3 linked regions of the Lytechinus pictus genome follow. The protein of the gene in region 3 purifies or fractionates together with the protein of the main gene of each other region. This does not show direct contact. Links are inferred from orthologs where the notes say so. Each region holds a gene or a part of one and is shown on either strand. Other genes may lie near its edges.

Evidence for each region.
Region 1: the proteins of nucleolar protein 56-like (region 3) and large ribosomal subunit protein uL30-like purify together in Homo sapiens (affinity purification with mass spectrometry; 3 studies listed by BioGRID and IntAct, with this or other methods). This does not show direct contact. The link is inferred for Lytechinus pictus from reciprocal best matches to the Homo sapiens genes NOP56 and RPL7.
Region 2: the proteins of nucleolar protein 56-like (region 3) and ATP-dependent RNA helicase A-like purify together in Homo sapiens (affinity purification with mass spectrometry; 3 studies listed by BioGRID and IntAct, with this or other methods). This does not show direct contact. The link is inferred for Lytechinus pictus from reciprocal best matches to the Homo sapiens genes NOP56 and DHX9.

Annotation. Positions count from the first base shown.
Region 1 is NC_087245.1:41,426,656-41,433,527, forward strand, and holds the start of large ribosomal subunit protein uL30-like, read right to left. Parts: upstream 4,495-6,872; 5' UTR 4,452-4,494; coding exon 4,441-4,451; intron 861-4,440; coding exon 755-860; intron 317-754; coding exon 150-316; intron 1-149.
Region 2 is NC_087256.1:29,478,526-29,485,397, reverse strand, and holds the start of ATP-dependent RNA helicase A-like, read right to left. Parts: upstream 3,870-6,872; 5' UTR 3,708-3,869; intron 1-3,707. UniProt on the Homo sapiens protein: Multifunctional ATP-dependent nucleic acid helicase that unwinds DNA and RNA in a 3' to 5' direction and that plays important roles in many processes, such as DNA replication, transcriptional activation, post-transcriptional RNA regulation, mRNA translation and RNA-mediated gene silencing.
Region 3 is NC_087256.1:9,010,825-9,017,696, reverse strand, and holds the start of nucleolar protein 56-like, read left to right. Parts: upstream 1-3,565; 5' UTR 3,566-3,567; coding exon 3,568-3,763; intron 3,764-4,405; coding exon 4,406-4,576; intron 4,577-4,979; coding exon 4,980-5,178; intron 5,179-6,648; coding exon 6,649-6,836; intron 6,837-6,872. UniProt on the Homo sapiens protein: Involved in the early to middle stages of 60S ribosomal subunit biogenesis. Required for the biogenesis of box C/D snoRNAs such U3, U8 and U14 snoRNAs. Part of the small subunit (SSU) processome, first precursor of the small eukaryotic ribosomal subunit.

The sequences.
Region 1 (6,872 bases), on a different chromosome or scaffold from region 3:
TACTGTAGCACATTTGTTGGGTCAGGTTAGTATTACTAACGTCCTACCTTGCACATTTATATTACAAGTGTGAATGTGGCCTCGGATTAATCTAAGCCCTGAAATGACACTTCATATTCCAGCTTATTTGATAGTGTGGGGACACTCACCCTCTGATCCTGACGACAAATGCTAGTCTGGGTTCATCTTCAACATAGAAGTTTCCATGCTTGCGAGCCTGGCGATGAAGACGTACAGCGTCACGCTCACGCTTCTTGTACTCCCTGATGTAGTCTTCTGCACGCTTGAAGATCACACGTCTCTTCTTGGCATTCTCCTGTAAGTTTAAGATTTTTTAATCCTTAGTTTAAAGCCTGTCTTGTGTTTCTTTAAATCCCATTCCACTATTCCAATTCATGACGAACATGGATGCCCTGAAAAAGTTGATGTGAAGGATAACACAAAGCTCAGCAATGATCGTAGAACATCTTTCTACGATTGATTCCATTCGCTACAATGTATAATCAACTGTAGAAATCAAGCGTACGATTAATCGCTAACCTTTGTGTTACGGGACTTTAAATTTTTACATCAAAATTCAATTTTGATCGGGTACCCAATCAAAATAAATATTACTTCTTTTTATAAAACCACTCGCTCCTAGATACATACAATGCAGCCCCCAAAATAGTGTTCTTGAGACTATGATGAAATTTTAGATTTGGCAAACCAAATTCATTATAAAGCCTAAAAATACAAAAAGTTAATATTTCACCTTCTTGGCAAGGAGGCGAGCTTGTGCCCTCTTAGCCTTCTCAGTTTGTCGGTTCTTCCTCTTCTTCAGAAGGGATTCTGGTGCCGTTGGCAGCTTCTTTGGCGCACTATAAGAAATAAAAATGAATGACAAACAATTATATTTTAAAATCACAAATCAGATCATCCTGGGGTGACTTGCCATTTATGAATCATGCAGGATTATCATAAAGGATCACTTGTCATGCAGAACTCAAGAACAAAAATACAATAGGCCAATCGACCTTAGGGAGATTCCAAGCAAAAGCGGACATTTTCCCAAAATTTATGGAAGTTCATAAATACAAAGGGGCATCATAATAATAATTAGCCTAAATTTTCTTTTTACACATCTCCTAATAGGAGAATCAGAACCATACAAAAAATGACATCGAAGAGACTACAGGATCTACACAGAAGAGGCGCACGCCGTACGGCCAATATCAGAGACTTTTCTAAAGAATTTGGGTATCCAATTTCATGGACAGTCTCCAGTTTGGGAGACCAATTTTCTTTGTTTACATATGCTGCAAAAGGATTACCTTGGCAGCAAATAAAAATGTGAAAAGCAGATTCCTCATGAAAAATTACCCCTTTTCACCGTCTACTTTAAAAATTCATCGTCTAGACCTCTACTTTTGTTTTTATAAGGATTTTTGTTGTCATCCACACACAAAATGGGCTTCTGACCTCAGTGGGACAAAATTTCAGATGGAAAAAAATCATACTTTTGTTGGTGTTGTTTCTTTTGTTCTTTTGCAAAGTCTCCAATATGGGAGATCGTCTCCCTAATATTGGAGAGTCTCCATTATTGGCCGTGTGCCTCTACTGATCTACAGATACCAGTATTTCATTTTACTCAATTTCAATTGAACAGAAAGCTATTGTTAGGGTGTCTGGAGAAAAAAGTTATTTTTCTTATTTCAAGAAAATATCACATTTTCTTTGTGAATTTTAATGGAAATAACCTTCAGACTGACAGAAATGTAATTTTTTTTGTAGATCTAGGGGCCTAATGGTTGCAAAAAAGAATGAAATCAGGTAAATTTTCAGCATTTTCCTGCCATAGACTGTGTAGTTAAGAAATGGACACACACAAATCCAAATTTTTTTATTCTGAGAGCTGCTATAAATAAATGTATTCTTGATGCCAAAAACTTGCCCAAAGTGCCTACTAGGAATTTTGATGCTCTTTCTGATGGTATGATTTTTTAAATGATTTGGAAATCAGATCACAATGAAAATTGCGGCAAAGTGAATAAAATTGTGCCAAACAGAAATTCATTTTCCCATAGTTAACGCATGAGGTCATTCCATCTGGATTCACCCAGTGGTTGCACCCAACCCTCTCAAGTTTTTATTGTAAATTGGTACACATAAAATTCCCCATGGCCCAAGCACAAAACAAAAAATTAGTCCAATCGGTCCGTCGGTTCTCGCGCTACGGCCCGCCCTTTTCTCCTTGTTTTGACAAAAATGGGCGTGACCTTCAACTTTCAATGGCCATTGCATCGTAACGTATTGACAAATTTTCACGAAGCTGGTACCATTCAAAAGGAAATTAAGAGGAATCCAAAACATGCATCAAATAATGTATTGGAGCGATTATAAGGTAATGACCTTTGACCTTTACTTCGACCCCCGGACAAATAATTCTTAAACATGATTTTCGTGTATGTTGATTATTAGTATAATATTGACAAAATATGTTAAAACCAATGACGATATTTTATTTCTTCACCTTTTAAAACTCTTCCAAAGATACCAAATTATCTGATCTGAAATTTCACCCTAGTCCCACATACTGATATTCATGTTAGAAAAGCGTTTACCAGTCCCATGATACATGATTTCTTCCAATTTTAGTTACACTTACAGTATGCAAACAGATGAAAAGAACTAAGCTCATGATTTAACAAATGAAACATTAAACATTTATGCTCATGAATAGGTATCTGTTTAGGTATTTTGATGTTGGGCAATATATAATAACTCAGTCATAATTAGAAAACTGCTGGGAACTGCAATATCTGTTTTCTAGTAAGCTGTACTCCCCCAAAGTGGGAAATGGTAATCTCAACACACACACAAATAAGGGTTTGCAATTTATCTCTAAATCATTATTTAAAATGATCATATAAACTTGCCCTTACAACTGTACTGTCAGAAGTCCCTGAATTTTCTCTTTCCATACATCCCAAAGGCCAAACATTAGTTAGAAATGAATTCAGATCGCAATTCAGCAGCCTAAATTTCCCGAAAAAATGTGCCATATTTTCCCCTAAATCAGCCTGTTTTGCTGACACTTTTCAGTGTGGCTTCAGTTCAGACACCCTACTCTTTTGTTTTTTTTGAAATATTCAGTTGGATATATTGTAGTCTTCTTACTCTTAGACTCTATAAGACTATATTCTGAAGGAGTGAAGGTCGACTTTATCGTGATATTACTTAGCTAGTCACCTCTCTTCTCGTGTGCGTGCACTCGGTGTGTACTACAAGGTCAATGGGAGTTGAAAGAAGTCACCAGCGCTGACAAAATGAACGGCAGTGAATGAACTGGTGGGTGTTTCATAAAGCTGTTCGTAAGTTAGAGGGACTTTAAGTTTAAGAACGACTGGCGATCCTTTCTTGTAATTGGTAGGCCCTATCACCAGTAGAGGCGCACGGCCAATATGGGAGACTCTCTCCAATAGGGGAGACAATCTCCCACATTATTTGGAGACTTGCTTTGCAAAAGGACAACAGAAACAACACTAACAAAAGCATGATTTTTTCCACCCAAAATTTTGTCTCACTGAGGTCAGAAGCCCATTTCTTTGTTTTGTGTGTGATTAACAACAAAAATCCTTATCAAAACAAAAGTAGACGGTGAATATTTAAAGTAGACGGTGAAAAGGGGTAATTTTTCATGAGGAATCTGCTTATCACATTTTTATTTGCCGCCAAGGTAATCCTTTTGCAGCAAATGTAAACAAAGGAAATTGGACTCCAAAACTGGAGACTGTCTTACAAAAGTCTCTGATATTGGACTCTTGGAGTTGGAGATAATCTCCCACATTGGAGACAGTCTCCAATATTGGCCGTGCGCCTCTACTGATCACCATTAAATATTCATTGGTGATTATCAAATGCGTAAGATATGATCACCACTAGACACCAGTCGTTCGTGAAGTCGCTCTTAACTTACATTACAAACAGCTTTTTTTTTAGGCCCCTAATCATTCATAGACATTGTTAATGACGACTGACGTTAATGTTATTGACTTTGTGTAGGACAAAACTAAAAAGTCATAAGTCACAACCATGATGAACGTCAACGAGCGCACACACACGAGAAGAGGTGACTTATTTCAGGATAAGGCCCATCATTATGCATCATATCATAATATCATAATAAAGTGAAATGCCTGCCCATGACCATGTACCGTACGCGACCGTACACACACTGCATCGTTCTTGGGTTCCGTACGGGTGCTCTTCGGCCTAAGCTAATTCATTGGTGTGAACATGTAACACAAAATTTAGAAAAAATAGTTCAACATCAATGGAAATATTTTGAGTGCATTGATCATGATCATTTCAAGCATAAGAACCAACGGTACAATCTGTAAAATAATAAAGGATTAACTGGATTTGAGGAGATTGTTCAAGGGAATACTCTTTTCGTACCTATCTGCCATGTTGGACCAAGTCGAAAAGGACTCTATTCATTGGGTAAATTTTGTACTTAGGTGGCGCTATTTTTTCCCCAACAACCATGTTTAACAGTCATGGCATCATGGACAGTGCGTATCAAAAAAAAGTTTACACTTTGAAAAAATCCTGTAAAATTATACATTTGTAATATCCTGAAGATTTTTCCACATTTTAACATTGGTACAGATCCATTTAAGCAAATGACGATATAACTGTCGAAAAATATTTCTGCTTGAGTGAGCACCACTTACTTTTGAAAAATTAGTGAAAAATGATTTGCCAGAACTTTGAAATAGTTATGCGAATAAAAGTAGACCTTAATCATGAAGAACACGTGGAATTTAGCTAGTAAAATTGATTTGAAGATATCTTTTACCATTCTTGACTTGTTTCTTTGCCCAAAACACTTCAAAAAGTGCATTTCAACCCACCCCACACACCGAGGCCATCGTGACGATATTTGCTTTACACTGAGCTGTGATTTACATGAAATGGCTTAGGCTTGATTTTCATTTTGTTAATCATTGTCAAGCTTGGGAAAAGTGTGGAGCACTAGCGTACCTACGGGGGGGGCAGGGGGGGCACTCTGCCCCCCCTGACGAGATTTTGAAGACCTTTTTTTTTTTTTTTTTTTTTTTTTTTTTTTTTTTTTTGCTTGTCAAATTTTTTCTGGTACGAAAATCTTTATTTTGTATTGATGACCCCTTTTTTTTTTTTTTGCTTGACAAATTTTTTCTGGTACGAAAATCTTTATTTTGTATTGATGACCCCTTTTTTTTTTTTTTTTTTTTTTTTTTTTTTTTTTTTTGCTTGTCAAATTTTTGGGCGGCCAATTTTGCCCCCCCTGTGAAAAATCCTAGGTACGCCACTGGTGTGGAGAAACAAGTATTAAATGAAAAATGAAATGTAAACCCACTTTAAATGATAAAAACTTAGTGAAAAAAAATGCAAGCGTGCAGCCCCAACCAAAATTGTTATTGTTGTAATTATATTACCTAAAAGTTGTTCTCTACCCTTTTCCTGTCCCTGGTCAGCCCAGTCCGTCCTCACTATCGGTACAGAGAGCTTTGAAAGTCGCATTGCGTAAAAATCACAATTTACCGATAAAAGTGTACAGTTTAATTGACATATACCGACCAAGATGGTGAAACTAAAAACCGAATCAGTTGGAACAGCCCTGTGTGCCCGACAGTTTATCATTTTTTTCCGACATACTGCAGTCCAGTTTTTGTTTCCCCTTTCGCTTATACTATTCCTTCTTTTTCCCCTTCCCCCTTTTTTCTCTCTTTCCTTTTTTCCTCTTTTCTTTCCCTTTTTCGCTTCCTTTTTTTTTGCTTGTGACTCGTCAGGGGGGGCAGTCTGCCCCCCTGCCCTCCCCCCCCCCTCAGGTACGCTAGTGGTTGGAGGACTGAAAAGCTCAAATTTTGAGGTCTCCCAACGAATAATGTGGATTAAACGTGTGCTAGACGGAGAGCCAAAGTTCGGGTTGGAAAGCAACCTTCGAATATTTTTTATTAGTTCTTTGGGTGGTCGAATCATACTTCTGTATAATTATGATACCAGTAAAATGAATTTGAAAGGTATACCATTATTTTACATAGAAATGCTGAAGGCATGGTACGAATTGGATAAATGTAGACATTTGGAGGGAAAAGTAATACCATTATTTTTAATAACAAGCGTATATGCCTCAATAATAAGACCTTTTTTTATAATGAATTATTTCAGAAAGGTATAGTTAAGGTCTCGGATATAATAGTTGGAGGTCAATTAAGACCAGTTTCATATTGGTATAATCTGAAATTTTCATCTGAAAACTTGCTCAGAATTCAAATTTTTTTAGTAATAACAAAAGAGTGGATACAGGTGATTGTATGGAAGTGGATACAGACAACTTTAAAATTGAATTGATGATATTTGGGCATGTTCAGAAACTATGTAATATAAAATCTAGACGAATATATGACCACTAATTGAAAAATGTCAAAATGATTATGTATTTCATGTTACAGATGGGCAATCCGAATATGATCTGGGAATGGGGGAATTGCACTAGCGTACCTAAGGGGGGGGGGGCAGGGTGAGCAGACTGCCCCCCTGACGAGTCACAACTCATGCAGGGGACGTATCCCTGCCCCCCTGACGAGTCACAACTGATACAGGGGACGTGCCCCCCCCCCCTTTTGAATCTGAAGACCCTTTTTTTTGCTTGTCAAATTTTTTCTGGTCAGGAATCCCTTTTTTTGGTTGAAGACGTTTTTTTTTTTTTTTTTTTTTTTTGCATGTCAAATTTTTTCGCGGACGAAATATCCTCCTAAAAATTTGCCCCCCTTCTGGAAAATCCTAGGTAAGCCAGTGGGGAATTGAAAGAAGTATTTCTGAGACTGAAATGTGCAATGCTATGC
Region 2 (6,872 bases), about 20 Mb from region 3:
TCTAAAATTGAAATCGAATTGAAAATCGAATCGGCGATGTTTAAAAACAAAGGAATACATCAAAATTTTGTTCGCAGTCGCGCGCATCTTCCTGACAAAGTCACAAAGACGAATGCATTGGAATGGAAGTCGCCAACATGCGTGATCGTTTGGAACATGTTTAAGGTTTTGAGGTGTTACTGCTTTAAAATAAACTGAGTGATTTTTATTAGAAAGATAAACGAATGCTGCATCTTCCGAGCAAAGTCGCAAAGGAAAATAAAATGAAAATAATTCTCATAGATCACAGGTCAATGAACAATCGGCGGGACATATCCCTCGCCTAACAGAAAATAGACTTCTAACTATAATCACACAATATTAGTCTTAATCTAACTACTTGTATGATGGTGGTCCCCAAGTCTGTGCACCTAACGATTTGAATTAGGATTTAACATGAATTCATTTTTATTTCACAAAATCTTCATTATCTTTCAGTTGATAATGTTCCTTATATTATTATGATGAGTAAGTGTATGGTTGGAACTACCCTTATCGACCAACTAATTTTCTAAGCATCGTATCTGCAAAAATATTTATTACTTTCACCTAGATTTCCTCTAATTTGTGTAGAAAATTGAGCAGATCAGATTCCCACATTTCGATCGACGACTCAGATTCTATTCGCGTATATATCGGCGAACAACGAATGTGACGATTTTACATTTGCTCATTCGCACCCGTCTTTTGAAACCGACCACCCGCGATACACTAAGTTTACGGCTGATTCTTGTCGCGTTGGCGAAATATTTTGACTCTTCCAAATCAGTTCTATGATGTCAACATGCTAAATGATTGTCTCACTACTTCCACTGCGAGCTCAAGCACATGATTCGACGATTGACGACGGATTTTGTTCTAAAGCCGTTTACTATCAGATTTTTTGGTATGAACAACTGTTTTTCGGCGGGGTTCGGGTCTGGTCAATGCAATTTTGATGAATTCTACTAAATTTTTACATTTTTTGTTGTAAATCGATTCTTACCGTTCCTACGGACACTGCGCCTACTCCCCCTTGCGTATCGTTTGTAATATGCAATAATTTTAATGCGCGCAAGGTGGTCGGTTTCAAAAGAGGTGGTCGATATGTGGTGGTCTCACTCTACCAAATATCTCATAAAATTTTAAAGAAAAATACAGGCGCAGGCGATTCCATTTATTTTGGATCTGTGGAAACACTGTAATGTCACTTGTTCACTGCAACCATCCTGCCTGTGGGGAATCTACAGGTAGGACTATGGTATGCCAATGTTGTACAGAGCACACACTTTAAAAAAATCATTAAAATATCACTTTTGTGACCAAAATTACTAATTTCCATACAGTTGCAATTTATTCTTCATTAGTAACTTGGGAATAATTTTTGTATTCACCAGAGCGCTCAAAAACTTGATTTTTGGGCATATTTTTGTGTACGTCCTCTATTGGTGGAAAGTAGGCAAGAAAATTTTCATTTTTGATCTCTATTTTTAATTAAGAAAAAAATAATTTAAAGAATCAAATTTACTTAAGAGCCAAGTTGTATGAAAAATAGGTGTAATGGAAACTGTCAGTGTAAAAAAATCAAGCATTTGTCCCAAAGAAAAAGAGAAAATAAGCCAAACATTGCCACCCTTATTTTGCCACACATGGAGTAGGGAGTTCGGTGACTTTGAAATCTTGAAGAATCCCAACAAATTTCATATCATTGGAAAGCTTGTAAAATAAGAAAAATATTGGTGCTTCATTCAACTCATTGTCTGATATATTGACGGAGATTATTCTAATTTACAGGGGAAAATATGCAGATTTTGTTCTGTCAAAAAAAATATTAAAGGCTTGGGTGGGGCACTCCTAGTACCAATGAGGTCCAACATTACATGTATGGACCTCATAGGCGACATCAGTAGTATTTTTGGTTAGAAATCTCTGAGAACAGGATATTTAAACATTATATCACAAGTACAAGCTATAATTCCTTTCTCTTATTTAAATTATAATTTTATAGTGTAAATGCATCGTTAGCAACAACAAAAAATGAAAGAAATGAAGGGGAACTTACATTTTCACAGCTTTTTCCTGATTTTCTGGGCAGCTGCTCTTCTCTTCTGACTCGCGATCGAAGCTGATATGAAGATCACGTGATTCGCGTTCTCGTCAGCTGATCGGTTGGTTATTCTTTTCGTCAGACGTTAATAATATATATTTTATAATGCTAGCATTCATCGCTAATTTAGGTGAAAGAGATTGAAGTTAAACAGCGCCAGGTCGGAATCATAATTATTTTGGAAGAGTGTATTTATACACTCGATCTCATACCTGACGTAGACGGCGCTATTCAACAAATGCACAATCTTCAATATAAAAAATAAAACAGAAAGAACGCCTTGAACACAGGCCAAAATGCCTAACGATTTCTCCGCGGCATTAACAACTATCGTAAAGGGCGCTCCATTTATCAATAAAGATGGACGCTAAGCTGTCTATGGCGACAAAATTTGCCGCAAATATTTACGAAGAATTGTGAGAAATGGTCTGAAAATGCAACAAAAGAACCGGTGAGTACCGATTAAACATTATTAAATTTGTAAATAGATTATACATACCTTGTAGATTTAGTTTTTAAGGTGATATTAGTGCTTAGTTCTAAGCTAGGGAGGCCCAAACGCGCGTGAGTGGAGTCCCAGTTTATTAGCACGGGTAAGTATTGGGGTGTCGCCTAGAGTGGGGTGGGGGAGACAGTTTCTTTTTGAAATCTTGAAGGAATCCCAACAAATTTGGTACCATTGGAAAGCTTGTCAAATAAATCAATTCATGTCAAATATTGACAGAGATATGTCTGTTTAAACGGGAGAATGTGCAGATTTTTTTACAGCAAAAAGTAGATTTTCATAACTTACACAAAATGCAATGAATGGGACTGTGTAGGCCTAATACTTTTTTTAAAAGTGCAATGCGCTGCTATGCGGGGCAAGGCATGCCCTTGAACTATACATCATTTTATTCATAGAACTTCAAAGTTTCTCATGGTATACTATAGGTTTCTATAGGGTTTTTCCTCCTCCTTTAATGGCTTCATATTTGTTTTATACATGGGTGCACAGACAGATACAAATTCTGAAAGTCAAAGTGGCATTTCCACCGAACTCCCTAACGTTACATGGAGATATAACCGAGAACAAGGTTATATCATATTCATAACCTTGTTCATTGAATGAGTGTGTAATGTTATTGTTAGAGTCTACACCCCATTCGCTTAGACTTTGCAAAATGCAAGTGATTCACTTCAGCATTTCAGGGATTTTGATGAAAAAGGATGCATTGTTTGTGAGGCTCCACGCCTCCAGTCTCAGTCTCACATGAAATGCCCAAAATTCATTATGTGCAGACTTGGGGAACTTTGCCATACATGTAGTCTACACACTTTCTTTCATTGCACCCAAAGCCAAGGCAAGGCAAAGAAATAAGCACAACATCATACATGTACAACTGCAGCCGGCTTACACTACGCGCAAGCCGTACCCCCATCCATCACATGGCCATGCCAGCCAGCCACGCCGGCGAAACGGAGATCTTGTCATATGGACGCCGCTTGTTTGTCGGAGCCTGGTGCGAAAGTGCATTAGCGCCATTAAAAATTAGACAACATTTTTATTGAATAGAAATCTATAAAAATAATTATTAAATACCGAACTCACGAATCAGCAACTCAAGAAAAGTATAAAGTCTCTAGAGTAGTCCAAATAAGAGTACTTTCACAGATTATGTCTTGATTTGTGATGTTTTCTCTCTTCGAGATCTAGTTCAGTGGCCTCGACCTCCAATCGCCATGTAAGGTCACGTCGTTAGAGGGCGTTTTATGTTTCATGACGAGATATATGGAGGTGCCGTGGCCGAGTGGTCTAAGGCGCCTGGCTATACAAGGAAAGTCCGGGGTTCGATCCCCGGCTACGACACCTATGCTCTTTTATCCTGCATTCAAATAGACGGAAATGCTTTACGCGTTATTTGTAACTAGGTGTGCACTTGTTAAAAAAAAAAAAAAATATATATATATATATATATATATACCGTATATATATATATATATATCCACAAAAGTGGAGGTGCCGTGGCCGAGTGAGTCCGGGGTTCGAACCCCGACCGCGGCACCTATGCCTGTGAGCAAGGTATTTAATGTGTAATGCTCTTTTATCCTGCTTTAAAATAAATGGAAATGCTATAGGCATTATTGGTAACTTGGTGTGCACTTGTTTTTAAAAAATATATCCACCTCTTGATATATTACATATCTATTCTATATATCATAGCTCTTTTATACTGCATTCAAATAAATGGAAATGCTATACGCATTATTGGTAACTAGTTTACTTGTTTAAAAAAAATATATATGATCGATATCTCCATGGACCATTCTGACGAGATTGGCGACAAATCAGCGCTTTGCGTATCACGAAGGCATTTTTTTGTTTTATTAAGTTGTTATTTATTGAATTCATTCAATACACCCATTCAATACAATATCGCTTTTTTTCTTAGTAACATAAGAAAAAAATAAATAATATATATACATAGTTGTTTTATCCTTCATTTGACTTGTCTTCAGGGGCGGTATATTCTAAGAGCACAATAGCGCTCACATATGCGATCCGGCCGGTGCGACGCGATTTTTCAAAAAAAAAAACGCGATTAAAAAAAAAAAAAAAAAACACGCATATATGCATCAAATATGAAAGTTCCAAGAAGTAAAATTACTTTAAATAAAGTTTTGCATATCGTTAGGAAAACTAAAATCACTGTTTTACTTTGCGGCAAGCCCTTTGGTCGGAGTAAAGTCCAAATCGGCTTCAAGTCACAGCCAATGATGACGTCATTATACGATTTGGAATTGAATTTCATTCATTCAGGGATCGCGTCGAGGCTCTAACTGGACTGAATTTCGATTTCAGAAGCCACTACTGTGAAGTCTGATCCGTAATATTAGTTGGAATATCCATATCAATTGTTGGTTATCACAATCAATTTCGGATCGTGTGAGACGAGCTTTAGCGGTCAATTAGCATTTTGGTGTGTCCCTCGGCTTTTTTATATTTGGCAAGGGTGACAATGACCGAAACAATGACAATAACATTTATTCCCACGGTCACCAATAGAGTGGGTACTGATTGGAGAAACAATCATAAAAATGTACAAAATCATCAATGTCATTTCATCAAGTAATTTGCCAATCATTTAGAGTAAATTTAAAAAAAGATCAATAAAAAATACAAATTTTAGCATTAAAAATTATAGTAACAAATGATATAGTACCCTGAAGCTTCAAAAACATATGATTAAAAAAAGAAAGAAAAATTCCAAATAACGACATCATCACATCGTTGGCTATTAAACCACAGTCAAAAAGCTCAAAATATCATATTTCGAGCGTAGCAAAGTTTAGAAAATTTGATAATTAGGCCTACATGAGATAATGGATTAATGCCTTGAAGCTTAAAAACCCAGCTTTTTAAAATTGTAATTAGCATATGCATCTGTCTAATAAAAGGCAAGTAATGGCATCAGCATATTATTGGCTCCAATATTCAATTAACAGCTCAAAATATTGAATTTGGAGCGTAACTTATTGAGAAACGAAGCATAATTTTCCTGCAATTTTTTCAAGGTTGGAACGGATTTCTGGTTTTTCACAATTAAAATGGCTGATTCATTTTTACAGTATTCGGTCTTTCAGTGTAATATTTTTTTAAGATGAAACTTTCTTTCTTTAGCAAAAGAAGGACATTAAACGAATAGATAGTGAAATTCATCACCAATTGATTGAAGGTTGCATAATGTACAAAACCTTAATATGTTCCTTTGACGATTTTCATATCTTCCTGAGGCAAAAGGGTGTCGATGATTTCCAAAACGAAATCTACAAAAACGCGATTCTATCTTTTTTTATTCATATTGATGAGGTAACTTTCTAGACGAAGATTTTCTTTGAATATATAGTAGTTAACACACTGAGAGTTTTCGGTTATGAACGTAAACCAATTATGCAACTGTGAATCCTATATTCGTAGATCTACAGCTTGTTTTACCCAATATCTGCTCGAGGAATCAGAAATGTCAAATAAATTCGTCATGCCCAATCTATTAAGAGTTTGCTTTGGCGTTAACCAACTTGACTGATATATACCTTGATCAGAAAGTATTTTTACAGTCTCGAAAATCATATACTAGACATTTTTGTTTTCCTATTGTGAACTAATCCATACCGTTCATCATTCTTTTCTCAATATATTATTTTATCTAATTTGAATATTTCAAGTTCGCCTAAAACCATGCATGCAGTTTGCCGTTAATATCTGCTTGCAAAATTTCATGTGAAACACTTCTAGATCTCTAATCACATCAAAACCCCATATTTCTGACCCATAGAGGAGTATCGGTAAAACAAGTTGATCAATTCAATTTGGATATCCACTGATAAATCAAGATGATAAATTTTATTCAACGTGCTATACATTGCTCTTCTTGCTTGATTCAGTTGTTTAGCTTGAACTTTCCGAAATCAATTACTATAATTGAAGGTAATTCCAAGATATACATAGTCATCTACTACTTCAAGAGCCTGGTTATTAAAATGTAAAAGAACCCGTTTTTTCTCACTTTGCCACGGGAGAATATAACAATTTTCGTCTTGTCTATATATTCACATTTAAATATCATCTTTTACAATAATCTGATACTGCATTGAGCGCACATTGAAGTTCTTGTTCAGATTTGGCAAGGAGCGTTGTGGCCCAGTGGATTAGTCTCCGGACTTTGAAACAGAGGGTTGCGGGTTCGAATCCCAGCCATGGCGCAAT
Region 3 (6,872 bases):
GTAAGTAAATGAGTTGGACATTATATCAATCCATTCCATTGGCTTTGTTATTATTAACGTGATCTTTGAATAGTTTTTCTCAATTCGCTCTACGGCAGTGTCATCAGAAATGCATTAAATGAATTCATGTAGATGTAGCTATAAAGGCTGGGGCCTGGGACGAGATGAAACTATATTTCGATCGAATTTTGATAGTAATTTTGACACACTTTATATTTGACATAATAAGTGACAATATCAACTGAAATTCGTAATAATCTAAATTACATTGCCCAAGCCAGTAACCCACGATACCCCTCTCCCCTCACTTGTTTTTGAGAGTATTTACTACCATTTTAAAGACGTAAATAATGTGAGCAATGCGATACGCAAATGCGAGGTAAACATCTTCGCACTTCCCACAAAAGAGATTGGGCCTCGAGTCGAGGTCGTATCGTATATAGCGCACTAGTAGTAGTGAGTGAGAAATCCCGGGAAGGAATCGTGGACGAAATAATCGACAAGTTTACTTTAGGATCTGAAAAGCAGATTATTTTTTTATATATTATTCAGTTTTTGTGTAGATCTAGGCCTGCTTTACAGTTGTCGGCCACGGTTGTCGGGGAAGTTCAGGGTTGGCGGATTTGCCCTGAAAATTTTCAGGCTTGGCGGCGCCCGCCAATCGTGACGCGTGGTAGTGTAAAGATTGTTTGAAGGAAGAGAATTTAAAATTCCACCAATTTACTGTGAAGAATTTTTCTCTCAGAAAACAAAGTCAGTTTTTTTGGTTACTCACGTTACATCACCTGAGCAGGTTGCAATATTTATTTTTGAACAAGTACTACAAATTTAATTGAAAATATGTTGTGTATTTTAAGTAATTTGACTCTTCTATCAGAAATATATAAAGTGGTATGATGTTGCAATAACAAAATGGTAATAAGGCATATTTAATTTTTCACTATATTTCTTGTATTTTTGTACAGAGTGGAAGACACAACTTTTGACCATTTTTTTCCAAAGTATACATATGAAAATAATCTTTTTAATTTTTGTTCCTGAAACCATCATGTATGAAGGACTTAAAGTATTTAAAAATTCAAGAAAATATTGAATTTGAGAATTTGAATTTTTAAGCTCATGTCCACCAACCTATGGAATTGCCCCAATGAGTTTTGATACAATTCTGTTGCGTGCCCTCGCAAATCAAGATATTTCTGGTTATTTTCCTAAGTGGGCAAGACACAAAATCGCTTTTGCCTTGTTTGTATTTGTGGCAGTTTTATTTTTTTTGCTCAAAATAGAAAGATTTTATCAATTTTATATCATCAAAACATGAATAAATCCTTCATAAGTGGTTACCACTTTGCCCCCTACTCCATTTTCACCACATGATTTTGTTTTAATCATTGATTTAAATCACTTCCATTGAAATATGTACATGTGCAATGTACAACTCCAGGTTTATTGTACTAAATAAACTTGCAACTTTTTCCCAATAAGTCATAGCTTTGCAAATCAATGCTTTAAACAATCAAAAAGCTCCAAACATGGCTCAAATGCCAAAGGAGGTTTAAACAAACAAAGAGAAATGGAGTTTTCTCTATTAAACACATGATTTTCAGTCCTTGGCTTGAAAATCAAGAATGTTTCTCTTTCAAGAATGTGAGTCTCTGAGTCATGGAATTCTTCCAAAGAAACTGATCCTCATTTCATGTTTGAATAGGAACACTAACTTTGCAGTATTAGCTGTACCAAGGCAGTTCCTCAACTTGGACCAAACCAGTCAGTAGGAGCTCCCAACACGAGAGGATGCAGAAACAGCATCTTCGTCATGACTTACAATATGTTCTATATAAATTCTATTTTGACTGTCTTTAATTATGAAATAGAATAGAAGTTAATAATAATTTTAGTTGTGAAATGTATGATTTTGAAATGTATGATTTTGAGTTAAGTGTAAGGGTTTTATTTTTAGTCTTTCCACTTTGTTTTAGAAAATATTGTTTTAAAAAAAAAAAAAATTAAATCCAATTTTTTTTTATTAAAAAAAAAAAAAAAAAAAAAAAATTGTCAACCCTAAAAGAGAGAATAGAGAGAAAGACAAAAACGAAATAGATCTACGGAAAAAAGGAAGTAAGAAAAATGAAAGAAAGAAAAGTAAGGAAGAAGGAAAGAGAAATGAAGGAAATAATTTCTTAAAAGTTCAAATGGAAAGAAAGAAGGGAAAAAATAAAAAGTAAAGAATGAAAAGAAAAGAAGCTAGGGATGGAAATAAAAAAAATAAAAACAGGAAGGAATGAAAGACAAAAAAAAAAGGTACCGTGTAAGAATATGATTTGACAACTCATAATACCAGTGCAGTACCAGGTACAAGTACCGGTATCATCACATCACAACAGCGATTTTCACAAAGTGACTGGTGCACCACTAAATGTGCGTGTTGACTGCGGATCTCTACATGTAGCCTGGCTTTTGGCCTGGCCAATACGCTGCACCGTGATGATATTCAAAAGCTCTCACATAATTCCATTGCAATTTTGCTTTGCAATTGTAGATTTTGATACAACCTTCGTAGATACTTTTCAAACACCTAACCTTGGTTAGTCGTTTTAGGTATATGAATTCTTTGATTTGTGAATATGAAATCGTAATGTTTTTGTGAATTTTGGAAGTTGCAAGTGTGATTAACGTTGGCAGTAGAGGGCATGCGCATCACCCGTAATGAGAGTAAAGCGAAAGTTCCTCGTGTCATAAAAGTGCTACGTCTTGTCTGCGTGCTCCCAAATCCGTAGGGAGGCAGTACTCAATATGATCCGCAAATTTTGCCCATGTTTTTAGAAAGCAGACAGCACACACTTGCAAGTATGGCTGGTTGAGACCAAGCTTTTAAGCAAAATAGAGCCGTAAATACAATGTGGGTAAAATGGATAATACATAAAACTAAATTGGCTGGATTTCACCTCGTACAGAAAATTGAGGTAAAGAATTACATTTTCATATATATGAGAATGTGATCTCTTGTTAAAATTTGAAACAAAATTCTTTTTAAAGATGTTGGTCAAACTTCATTAATCTACATGTAGGCCTATTATTTATATTGGGTAATGTTTCTTTTGCATCAATACCTCTGGTTCTCTTCTTGTATTGTTATTTTACATGTACCATCTTGGCATGTTGTTTCACTTTTTCTTATTGATTTTTACACACACTAGCTGTTTGTTTTACTTTTTAATATGTAAATGTAAATTTTGAAAATTGTTTTATTCAATAAAATGCCTACATGTAGCTGTGAAGGGGGGGGGGCGTACTCGAGAAACAAACTAGTGTCTGTTTACTGAAAGCAGTGTAACAGTTTTAAATGAAATAACTAGATAACTCTGGCCTCAACATGCATGTAATCATGTGGTAAACACCATATTACTCCCACCATTCACATGTAAATTGAAATATACTAGAAACTTGTGAGCTATCCATTCCTTTATTTCAGAGTTCTCAAACTATGTTTAAGTACATGTTCGTCAAACCCATTTACAGATCCATTTTATCCTGTTCCATTTTCTGTTCTCTTTTTTCACCCAGGCTATGATGATTTTATTTGAACATGCATCAGGCTACGGCTTGTTTGCAGTCAAGGAGTTTGAGGAGGTCTCTGTCCTTCATCACCAAGTCCAGGAATCTGTGACAGACTTTGGCAAGTTTGCCTCTCTGATCAAGCTTCAGGCCTTCTCGCCTTTCAAATCAGGGGTCAACGCACTTGACAATATCAACAGCATCTCAGAAGGTAAATTTTGCCAATAATTTTTTTTTTTTTTTAATAAAAATAAAAATGAAAATGTTGATACTGATTTTGTTTAATAGCATTTCCTATACTTGATGTTTTGATAATACACAATGTAGCTCTTGCTCAAGGACATAAAAGCTGTGTTGTGGTTGAACCCCAACTTCCATTACTTGATCATGATGGCACAGACTCTAGGAAGTTCGTTCAACAGAGAAAGAAGCAATGAATAAAAAATTTAGAGCCTGTAGTGAAGTATATTTTGCAAATCATCAGGTGGTAGTATTTTGGTTGAGTTTTGTTGAAGACATGTGCATGGTCTGTGGCAGGAAATTACTGGAAATTTTACAACAGATCGATTCCTATTTACTTACAACAATGTGAATGATATTCGCCCTTCGATTCAGGCCTCTCAATCATTCTGAATTTGGAGGAAAGAATGTGATCTTTTTTTGCCATTTTGAGCCCCTGTTTGAGACAATTTTCCTACGTTTCTTGATAACTTTACTACACGATCCTATGAAAACTACTGTTTCCTGATTTTTTTAGCAAGATCATTCCTATTTTTCTTTAAATTGGTCAAGAGGTATGTTGATACCCTAGAAAATATAACCTCTTTTTTTGTGTTCTTTTATTGTGTCTCAGGTGTGATGACAGAAGACCTGAAACTCTTCCTGGAGACCAACATGCCAGAGAGCTCTAAGAAGAGGAAGAAGATCACATTGGGTGTGGCCGATGGGAAGATAGGTGCTTCTATCCAGGAGGAACTAGGTATCCCCTGTCAGACGGGAGGAGTCTTCCAGGAGATCGCAAGAGGTAAAAACTTTCTAATAGGGGACTGTCTTCAAAGGATGTCAAATGCACAGTGGAGGCATGTGATAGATCATAGATTAATCTTGAGCCTTGGCATTAGAATAAAAACAAATTGAAATGGTATTTTATGTTTTGATAAATTTTGACTTGATCTATCAGGCAGTGAGATCAATTAGAGATATCAGTAAGTATTTGTTCTTTGACAGCATGTTTGTGGTAAGGATGTTCTCAAGGAGAGAAACACAAAAAAATACTACATATTCAAATCGCCAAAATAAATTCTGGGAGCTATGAATAATTCAGACCTGTTGATGTTATTGACTGTGGCTCTTCGCCAGTAAATTATGTAAATTGAAAAGAGCATTAATTATCAAAATAGTAACCACATTCCTTTTTTTTTTACAAGGTCTGAGGTACCATTTCTACAGACTGGTCAAGGGACTGACCGCTCAGACAGAGGCTAAAGCACAACTTGGTCTAGGTCACAGCTACTCAAGGGCAAAGGTCAAGTTCAATGTGAACAGAGCAGATAACATGATCATCCAATCCATCTGTTTGCTTGATCAACTGGATAAGGATATCAATACATTTTCAATGAGAATCAAGTGAGTATTGTGTTGGGCTGTACATTGTGACAATATGTTAAAATATCACACTTAAATGAGTAGACAATACTGGGTAGACTACATAAAGGTAAACTTGCGTAAAGTCAATCTTCCATATGGCGAATATATGCATTAAAGTGATTGGTTAACATTGTTTTGACTTTTAAAAAATCTGAGCTAGAAGGTCACACTTGTCACCTGTGTCTGTGATATGTTACAAAAATGAAGCCCAGAAAAAATTGCGTTCGAAAATAATTATTTAGTGCTTCAAAAATTGAAATATAAAGTGACCAGAAACACCATCTTAATTTCATCCCATACACTTATGTGTACTATTTAGGCGTCTATTAGACACCCATTTACAAAATCGGGGTTTGCCTTGTAGTTTTAGCTTTTCATTCTCAATAACGGCTGTTTTCAGGGTTTATTAGTTCTAATACATGCACTTGTACACATGTTTCATCTTGGTTTGAGAATTTTTTAAATAGGCTGCTCACAAAGTTAAACAATACCTTTAAGCCGAAGCAGTTTCTTTGACAGATTTCGCAAAACACATGTCTTAGGAGCCACTTTTGTACTTATTCAAACATATGTCTGGGGCCCCCAATAGATTAAGTTGTTATAATAAATAATTGGAGTCTATCATTATGTTTCAGACATAAAAACCTGAGCTTAAATTGCTATAATAATAATAATAATAATAGGCATTTATATAGCGCCATCTATCTAGAAATATTCTATTCCGAGGCGCGTTGTTATTATTATTATTACCCCGGCTTTAGCTCGAGCTGCCTTTCAGCGCTTATGCATTCAAGGAATTAATCCTGCCGGGTACCCATTCACTTCACCTGGCTCGAGTGCAGCACAATGTGGATGATTTTCTTGCTGAAGGAAATTACGCCATGGCTGGGATTCGAACCCACGACCCTCTGTTTCAAAGTCAGAAGACTTATCCACTGGGCAACAACGCTCCACATGATAGTTAATCATAAATCATGGTCATCCATAGTACATTGCACTAGGGTCCATGGGATAGGGTCATCAAATTGTCCCTCTTAACTTATATTTTACATTTCCCTGGTAATATACATTATTGTCTGTTTGCCACCTAGTAATGTAAGTATGGTTTGCTGACCCTGTTTAACATTCATAGGGGATGATTATCATCTTGTCATTACTATATTATAGAATACACAATTTTTTTAAATCATCATGCCACCCTGTGCTTTATGATATATCCTTTAGTAAGATATTAATTTGCATTTGCCACCCTTTACCCATGTGTAATAAGGAGCTGGTGTATTGAATTTATCAAATGGTTAATGCTGAAATAAGTTGTCTAACTCTACATGTAGCTTCAGGTGTGATTGGTAGATCGCCCCCAAGTTGTTTGGATATGTACAATAAGTCTATACAAAATATATTGCTTTGTGATTTAAATATTTACCTTGAATTCTTTTACCCTTCCAGAGAATGGTACTCCTATCACTTTCCAGAACTTGTCAAAGTAGTTCCAGACAACGCACTCTACGCCAAGGTTGCCCACTTCATCAAGAACCGTAAGGAGCTTACTGATGAATCTCTTGAAGCCCTGGAGGAGTTGACCATGGACAGTGGTAAAGCTCAGGCCATCTTGGATGCATCACGCTCGTCTATGGGTCAGTATCTTATCATTGTGAATTCGATTCTTTGTT